2 linked regions of the Drosophila melanogaster genome follow. The protein of the gene in region 1 interacts with the protein of each later gene in a pairwise test. Each region holds a gene or a part of one and is shown on either strand. Other genes may lie near its edges. The genes, in order: sas and CG43795.

What was found.
Region 2: the proteins of sas (region 1) and CG43795 interact in a two-hybrid assay, tested with the Drosophila melanogaster proteins (one large-scale study listed by BioGRID).

The regions. Positions count from the first base shown.
Region 1 is NT_033777.3:7,161,182-7,166,088, forward strand, and holds the start of sas (stranded at second), read left to right. Parts: upstream 1-1,626; 5' UTR 1,627-1,859; intron 1,860-2,940; 5' UTR 2,941-3,178; intron 3,179-3,247; 5' UTR 3,248-3,339; coding exon 3,340-3,679; intron 3,680-4,907.
Region 2 is NT_033778.4:23,442,365-23,447,199, forward strand, and holds the start of CG43795 (uncharacterized protein), read left to right. Parts: upstream 1-1,772; 5' UTR 1,773-2,019; intron 2,020-4,835.

The sequences.
Region 1 (4,907 bases):
TCTTTTCCTTTGCATACATTGAGAAATGCTCCATTCAAAAACTGTGAGCATAAACTGAAGTTGCATTGTTATTATTATTATCTTTTTATGTTCGCCTGTATTTTATTAGCATTAGCATTAGCGGCTTCTCAATGACGGTGCGATAAGCCCCAGACAAAATATATGTATGTATAAACAAAGGGAGACAATGCAACTTTGGCCGTGTTTGTGCAACACCAAAAAAAGCGCATTTCTGCATTATTCTCTGATGTTTGCACGTTAATGTATGCAACCACAAGAGCAGCCCCAATAACATAGAAACTGTGTGCACATTTGATACTTTTTGACGTCTGCGAGCAGAGAGTTGAGAGTTGAGTTGGATATGATTTGATTTGATTAGATTTGAGTTCTTCAGACACACATTTCCTTTTTAATGACGGTTGGCCAACTTGCTGCCATTGATGTGTGATGACGGTTTCTGGGCGCGTCTCGCATCCCAAGTGGAGAATTGATATTTGCATCGATGGCATTTGATGGCGGTGGATCAGTCAGTGATCGGTGGATTTATGAATTTGGGAGCAGCTCCGCAGATAAGGCCTTCGGAATGGCGGTTATTTGGGTTTGCTAATAGATATTGGAATTTCATGAATCTTTCTAGTTTTATTTAATATTTCGGGTATCGCAGTAAAAATAACTTTTATGTAGTTATATATACATATATCGTACTTTCCTCTATAGAAACCGATTTGACCTCGACTAGTTTTTGGGTTTTAATAGCGTCGGCGTACTTATCTTATCTCTAGTTTTACTTATCCCAAAGTAATTGGTTAAATATTATTAGAACACCAAACATTTAGGGATTATAGTAATTATTTCACATAATATAATATAATATAGTACTAATGCTATCCTTATACTAATCATTTTTATCACTCACGAGTGTTCAATGTACCCTACAATAGGGGTGATAAGGTATCACCTTATCACTTATCATTTCACTCTTTCGAAGTAGCATAGAATTTCTTTATTTAATCATATTTACGAAAGCTGTAAATGGGATTAATCTCTTAGTGCCGCTGTGACCCCAAGCATCCCTGACTCATGAACACTCTGGATCTACGAGTATGGAGATGCAGGGCCGCTAATACGAATCTACGCTTGTGCTCTTTCAAAAAGTCAGACAAAGAAGTCGAGGAAGAAAGAAACCGAAGGTAGGCGTAATCGGAACGATGAATGCCAACTCGGCTTGGCCTGGGTTTTTCAATGGGATTGAGTTTTTCGCCATCCAATTGGACAGTCCAAATAGATCGCGCTGAGTTCACTTGTCAAGGAATCGACTATTGCAGTTGCCTTGCCAAATTGAAAAAAAAAAACTCCGTCTTTGAGTCTTGTGTATGCATCATGGTCGTCTTGTTTCGAATCCAACGACTTCTAGAGAGGGCCTTTCGCTCACTACACCCACACTGGCAGACAGCAACAGCCTAGACACACCTGAGTGTGGGTGAGAGCGAGCATTCAACCACGGGGTAATGGTAATGGGTATTATGTATTACGTGCACGGTCTCACCTGTTGCGCTCAGCTGACGCGCGAGAAGGAGCCAGCCAGATGAGAGCCAACTAAGAGTTGGCCGGAGAGCAACAGCAAACCAGTTACATGTTGGCAGCCTGCAGATGCAGACCGTGGTGAGTTGGCAACGCTACCAGCCAAGATCCGTGCCGCCGGAGAGATCAGTTGGTGGTCGTGCTTGAGACGGAGCGGTTGGCCGAGTGCGATCGCATTACTTTGCGAACGATTTATATATACATATAAACCGCGCTGCCCACAAACGTGGCCAGATAAGAGGAGATATATACCAATACCTATACCTATTTCTCGCCGGGTTGGTGCTAATCTTCGTTTTAAGCGTGCCTGCGTGTGTGTGCGGTTGTGATTTATGCAAATCTTTGCTTTCTTATTAAACAAACACAAGATCTGGTAGTGAAATAAACGGCCCAGCAGAAGAAAAGAGAACCACGACCGAAAACATTCCATTGGAAATACCGAAAACACGTTTTCTCCCTCCAGCTCCGAATCGCTTGTTCGCTGTTTGCTTTCTGCCATTTGCCATTTCTACAAAAAAGGAGTGAGAGTGAAATGTGAAATGCGAAATGTCAGTGCAAATAGCTATCAACTTTTACAATGACATCACTAGATGTTAGCCAAAAGAAATATTAACAATTGCCAGCAGATATGGAATAAATAGAACCGCACGCTGTCTAATTGCCTTCGTACCAATATGGCCAAAAAGGCGTGCAGCAAATTCTGCGGTCTGCAGCCGTTTTCAGTTGCAGTTTCTGCTGCTGCCGTTGGAACCGGTTGAAATATTTTGCTATCGCAATTTGGGTCTAGGGTTTTTTGTTGCTGGCGTTGCATTGTAGCGAGTTGCATGAGCATCGACTGCCTTGCATATAAACAGTATATCTTTTTTTAGAGCCCAATTGGCAGCCTTTGTTTTTGGCAAGCTGGTTTATTTGCCTAGTTTCTGATTTGAATGGTGAGAAGTAAACATTGTGCTGGCGGCGTAGTCTTAAAAAAATGAAAGATATTTATGAGCTGCTCTAGGCTTAGGTACAGAAGTTGTAAATCTAAATGAAATATGCTAAATAGGGTTTACGTATCGTAAATCTACATAGGTTTTCAAAAATTCGGACACATTCAAAACTATGCGAAACTTTATAAAACAAAAGACTTGGGAAACGAACTTGCGTGAGTGGCATCGAAGATGTTTACGCTTTCACACTTAAATTGGTCATTACATAAATGTGTGACATAGGAAATGCTTTAGATATGCGGCGTATTTGGAAAAATTAGCTAATACTTTTATTTCGTAGCTTAATTAACTCACATATTATTTTTGATTGATTGAGTCAAGAGTAAGCCACCCCTATTTTCAAGCTAACAACTTTCCAATTTCCGCGTAGGGCGACCTAACAAATCACTCAACAAATCGGCTGGCAAAATATAGACTTGAGTTGACACTTGAGAGATCGTTATTCAACCGACTTTCAACGGAAATGACAGCATTTGGGGTTACCAAAGCGAGTCAATGACAAATAACAGAAACCGCTGCCACAGATGTCGTGTGAACTAAAATAACCGCATAAGAAAATCCCGCACCCCAAAAGAGAAAACTAAATAATAACTAGTGAACAAAAGTAGGTAATGAGTTATCGAGACCCTTCGAAACGTTTAAAAGTGCATGTAATTTATTTAATTCCATATTTATAGCAGATTACTATAAATTAACAATAACAAGTGCAAACGTGTGAGAAAAATCAAAGAGGAAAAGCCAAAAAGACGGAGCACAAACATAAACCAAAATGCAAACGTGTAGAAGAAGAAAAGCCTCCGGCGGCCAATCCACGATCAAGTGGAGTAGAATGTGCCTGGCCACTCTCTGCGGATTACTTTTGCTTGGCATTCAAATTGAGCGTGCGGCGTCTGCGCCCGCAGGCGAAGACGCAGCGGCCACAACGATGCCACCTTTGGATACCACAACAGATGCCCCAGACGCCGTTGCAGCCACCACCACTCCAGCCACAACTGCCGCAGAACAAAGCAGCAGCATCAGCAGCATAACCACCGAGGCGGCGGATGGTTCAACGACTTCCACGACGACAACAACTGAGGCGGCCAACAAATCCAATGCGACCGAAACTGGTGAGTCCAAGCCGAAAGCCATGAAAATTATAGATAGACGGCATCTACGCGACGACGCTCGCATAGCTGGGGCATCTCATCCCGATCTCCGGCCAGACACTTTAATCCCGCCTAGCCGCGCTGTGCTCTCTGCGCCGTAATCAAATCTCGTTCTCTGAGCCACCAATTAACGCCGTGCCGGTGCGTGACTTCTGGTCCGCCCTTTTTTTTACCCATTTCGTTTCGATTTGTACGGCATTTCTCCATAATTATTTTCCGATTCGGTTAAATGGAGCGAACAAGAGAAATTGTTTGACTATTAATGGATGGAAGAATATTTGAAGATATACATAAGCGGTTTCCTGTTGAATTACTTAGTTAATTACGCGGCATATTAAAGGGAAAATATTAAAATTTCCGGCCCTCAAGCTCAATCTCGGAAACCAATTATACGAGAAATTATTATTCGTGCTAGAACAAGTGAATGAACTTAATTAAATCTTAATATATTCTACTCGTACTACACCCAAGATACTCAAGATAAATTGAATTATACTTCTATTTCGATACAATTGATACTTAATATAAAATAAAAAATAATAAATCAGATTAGATTTTTTTTTTTTTTTTTGTAATTCTGTTGAATGAACACATTCACATTTAGGTTATTAGGATAACTGGAGAAATTCGTTTAACCAGATCACCTGAGATGGAATGATTAACTTTCACACACGTACCTTTTGCAAAATAGATTAATCGGGCAATTCCATTGCCGAGTTCTTGGCTGTAACAGATTTATAATTATCTAGAAGGTTGTTTGGGCTTAATGTCAGTTGCACACCAAACTCTTCACGAGGCAAGCACTCCGTCGTAAAAACTTCAATTGGTTTTTCATTGTTTTGATACTATTCCATCTAGATTCATTGATGACTCGATAAAACGAGGTCTAGCAGGCCACACACAGGTCTAGATCGATTGAGCATAGGTTGTTGCCATGGCAAGTGGGAATGCATTGTTTAAAAGGGACTGGCCTTTTTTAGCCGGTCTAAATGCCACGGGAAGTTAATGAGATTTAACAGCAAACATTGGGATGGTGGTAAGGTAAGCCTTCACAAATTACTCAATTTAAATGCAAAGCAGCCAACTGTCATGACTCATGCCCTTAACCTACGTAGTCCGTACCATAATCTTGGAGTTAACTTTGTTAAATTTTGGGTGTTAACTTTGTACAGAAACACGGAATGTCTTT
Region 2 (4,835 bases), on another chromosome or scaffold:
TGAAGTTGCAACAAATCGTTTACTCATTTGAAATGTGTGCGCATAAATTTATAAACAATAGATTTTTTTCTCACGGCTGCGTATAAATGTGATGCATATTCTGATTTTGGCAGCAACAGCAATATAAACATATTATTTATTTAGTACATTTTGGAAATGAACCATTAAAAGGAATCTATAATCAACAACACATGTTTTTTTTAATGTATTAAATTAGTTGTGACATTTCGATATAAAATTTCCAAATTTCGCAATGACTTCAATTTGCTGCTTAAATTTCTCGACAAATTCAAGTTGCAGCAACCAAGTGTACCAGTTCGCACATCCTCTCGGAAACCAGAAGCCCCATTTGGTTTCCACGTGCAACGTGCATTCAACATTAGCTTGCCATGAAAAGGGGAGCATTTAGGGGAGCATTCTTGTCCGACGCCAGAGATCGCGTTCCAGCTGCTGTCAGCAAATTAGAACGACAACAATGTAATTATCATAATTAAAAGACAGCCCCAGTCGCCCAAAAGCCGAAAGGCCAAAAACCCAACCCAATTCACGTGCTCGTCGAGGGAAAAATGCTGTGGAGCCCGGCGACCGGACACGGCGGCCATGAATTTCCTATTAACAGCCGTTCCCAGTGACAAAAAAAAAACAACGAGCAAGATTCACGACGGAGGTTTTCTGCATGGGTCGCTGGGGGTAATGGGTGTAAAGGGGGGTACAGGGGTGCAGGGGGTGGCAGCTGCATAATTGGGCCAGGTCGCTAATTGTAAAACGGTGCGCATTAATTGCGTCTGCAGCGTTGCGCATTTTGCGGCAACCTTTTCGCCTCGCCCCTACCCTACCCACCCTCCATCCGCTGGGAACCGCAAATTGCAATGATGAAAGTCTTATGCAATTGCACCCCATTTATGAAAGAGGCGGTACGTGTTGCTCTTGGGCGGATGCAGCTGCGTCCGCAGTGCGTTCTTATCAGTGATTCTTATCAGCACGGTCTGCCGACCAGCAACTCACCACACTGGAATGCCGGACATGCCGAACAGCTGTGCAGGGGGCTCCATTACCACTGCGCGCATGTCCAGGATGCGGGGTCAAAAACATAGAATTGTGATAGGTTCTCAATAGAAGTGAAATCTATTGTAAGATTGCTCCTGGAGGCATAGAATCAAAGCTCTCACAATTTACGACAAATTTCCATACTACGCGATTGGAATTCCTTTCGGATTCTTAAGACTCTTAAAATTAATACTTGTGAGAAAATACTAATAGTAATGTTTTTCGATAAATAATCTTCCTGTCTAGATGGAAATTGAAATTAAATTAAGCCGTAAACATAATGATTAAACTTGAGAGTCTCGATTGGTAACTTGTCTCAACTAGTTTGTCACAAGTACATATCTGAAATATATTCCTTTGTTTAACTAAAAGTGTAAAAAATCGGAGCGGAGTTACATGCAACAGTTTACTTTGCGCTGCCAAAGTCTGGCTTATCAGAGGCGAAGCCGCCGCTTCCAGTCTAATCAGAAACATCGCTGGAAGGTTCTCGCACGAAAGAGAGAGCGAGTGAGAGCGGGCACTAACCTGCCTCAATCTCCACAGTGGCCGGTGCCGATGGGAACGGCTTTCACTTTCTCCGGCGCTCAGCTGCTGGTCCACAGACCCACAATCGACGCCTCGGATTGCCAGCGCTCGGATTTACCGTTCGTTTCGGGGCGTGGTGAGTTCGCGAGCGAACGAAGCCGACTTTAAGGCTGGAGTTCCGACGTCGCACGGCGGCTGGCAGTTCGCTCTGAAGCGCGTCGCGGCGTGGTTGTGCATCCATCGTGGGGTCCCAGGAGGAACTTTAAGAACTATTTCGATTCTAGCGAGCCAAGATCGCGTGTTTGGTGAAGTGATCCGAATAGTTTAAGACAAGTCTGCCTCGACAATGGCAGCGATAGTTTTGTGACCAAAAATACAGTGAGAGTTGAAAACCAATCAATTAAAACTAAGCTAAGCAAAAACTTAACGCGGAGTAACCTTTTAAAGGTATGTAAGCACAAGGAAAATCGAACAGACATTCACAAATCAAGTTCACTTCATTCACATTAATGTAAGCCTCATCATGTATGTACATCAACATCAAAGTCAACGGCAACTGTGGCTTAACCAAAAAACAGTGTGCCCCACTCCGAACCAAATGGAAAATGTGAAAACCAATTGGTTATCTGTGCCTTTGGGCTGATCCTCTGACTGCTCCTGTGCGAGTTGTTGAGCCAAATGCCTGTCCATGGGGCGTATACGTAATGCCATTGTTCGGACAACAGCTTACGCAAATCGCATTCGATGCGCCTGCATCTGTGTGCATTCATGGGGCAGCTGAGAACTTAAACACCCGTACATGCGTTGTGGAAGCATGGGCTGGAGCCAGCAAAAAGTACGGCTTATAAATGAGTTAACAAAAGCATAAAAATGTAGTGCCGCCACTCGGTGAGATGAAGCCTGCTGACAGCGGATTCGAAGGCCGCGCAGGAATGTTGCCCAAGCGAAAGTAAATAATAAATTTCATTATCTTCCGCTGGGAGATTATTTTCAGAATGCAAATACCCGTGCACACCTAGAGGCCCATCTGCAAGTCAATTAATTAGGCTGAGGCCAGGATGTTTCATGTCCATGTGGAGAAATTCGGGTGAAAGGCACATCGAAATCACTCATACGCCGTGTGTGCGTATGCCCGTCCAGGTGTAAAACTGTCTTGCCGCTCCGACTTTTACTCGGAACTTTATGTTCGGCCGACCTTTATTTTCGGCCAATTAATTAAACTCCTTTGTTTGGTTCGAAAATTCGGCGTTCCAATTAACTGGGCGCCATTTAGCCAAATGAAGAAATTATACTTCTTTGATGTCAGCACATTTCCTTGGCAAAGTGCGAGTGCCAGAATCCAAGCGATCCAAGCGACTTATTATGCGCTTCATTCACGTTAATTGCCATCTTCCAAATCCCGAGCTTCTGTTCCGAGTCATTGTTTTAATTTGGGCATTTACCTGCACGCTCTTAGCCAGTGTTTACTTTCACTTACCCCAACTCATCCGCCCAGTAATACTTTACTTTGCATACAAATGGGCCAACTGGGCGCTTCTGCTTTATGAATGCAAATTTGCCCAGCCTCCTGCTGATGCCTGCAGTTCGCCATTGACCCATGCTGCGAAGGATGGCAGGATGGGAGGACGCTGTGGTGTCACTGTCAGTTTCAGTTACTTATTTGCATACAGTCGGAGAAATGTGCAGGCAAAGAGTTCTGAACACGGGGTGGACAACTTTTCGAGTGCATTAGGAATGGGCAAATAATGGAAATTTAAGTTTTTCGTACATGCTACTTGCTAAAGGGAAAACTATTGTCTTCCAAGTTCACATAATGGTTTTATTGCGTCCTCAAAATGGCAATGGTATAATGTTGTACAGGGCCTGATTATGTATCTAAAATATTATCATTTTCCTTTTTATTCTGATTCAAAGTGATACCTTTGTTGCGTTAGATGAATAAGTGAAGTATATAATTTATATTCCACTTTCTCCGAGTGTTGCCTTGTCAACAAAAGGCAGCACAATACAGAAAAAGCTGCGAATGAATGAAAAAGCGGCAAATACTAACGCCCAACGTTCTTCGTTGGCAGCTGTTTTGCCTTCCACTTATTCGGCGTTTACTTTGCGAAGTCCTTTTTTTTAAAGGCTTTTCTAAAAATTCAACAGATATCCCAGGCGCGGACTTCGCCAGAACGGATTTGGGGCAAACAGCAAAGTGGCTATGAAGTAAAGCCGTAGAAAGCTGCAAGTACGGCTTGAAAGCTGCTACACGTGTTTGGGCTCGAATTTCATTGAGATTCGCTTAAACAGATCTGATTTTCACTACCTAAGGGCCTCCTGTGGTTTCCCAATTTATCCGCATTGGTCAATCGGTGAGTGGGTTTGCATAATGTGCGAGAGACATCTACTTAATCCTCCTTTCGGAAATTTAATTACGTAGGTGGCATGTTTGCATTTATTCACTTGTGTACATTGAAAACAGCTACATGCGGCCAAAGTGTAATTAAATCAAGACTACATTTTTAAAGTGGGCTTTCCAATTTGGCAGCGTAGCCGTTTCCGCAGTGTATTTGTGCAGTCTGTGGATGTGTGTTCCATTTAATTATTATTTTGACTAAGACCTTAATTCATTTGACCATTTACACAAGCCTCGTAAATGTAATTAAAATCAAGAGATGATGTCGCATTCGAGAGTCTCGACTATTTGATACCCTGTACTCTGCTACTCGATGTTCATATGGACAAACGGATAGACATGGTCACATCAACTCTCCTAGAGGTATTCTACCTGTGACATACATTCCAACTAGTCGAATATACCCTTTTAATCTGCCGAGTACCGAGTATAATTATCAAAAACAAAAATATAGGATAAGAATGGGGATGGCTAAAGTATTCTGGGCGCATAAGCCCTTATTTTGACAAACTTTAGGGACTGAACTTCAGAATGTGTGAGCATCAAACTTATGTCTGCTGAAAGCCTAGCAAATCGGCTTAAATCGGATTTACCGTGGAAAGTTATTAATTATGTACGGAGCATAAGGATGCTCGAAGGATGCCATTTGCTAAAAAAAAAGGAAGAAGAAATCAGTTCGCGTATCTGCAACTTGGCTGCATACTTTTGGTCGCTGTAGTTTTTTCGCACAAACTTTCAGTCAAATACCTGAGTATTTGAGTTGGCCAGTTGACATGCAACCAATTAACTAAGGACAACTGTGTTCACAGCTCATTTCGCAAAACTCCCCCACCCCACGGCAATCAATATAATTGAATGAGCCAAA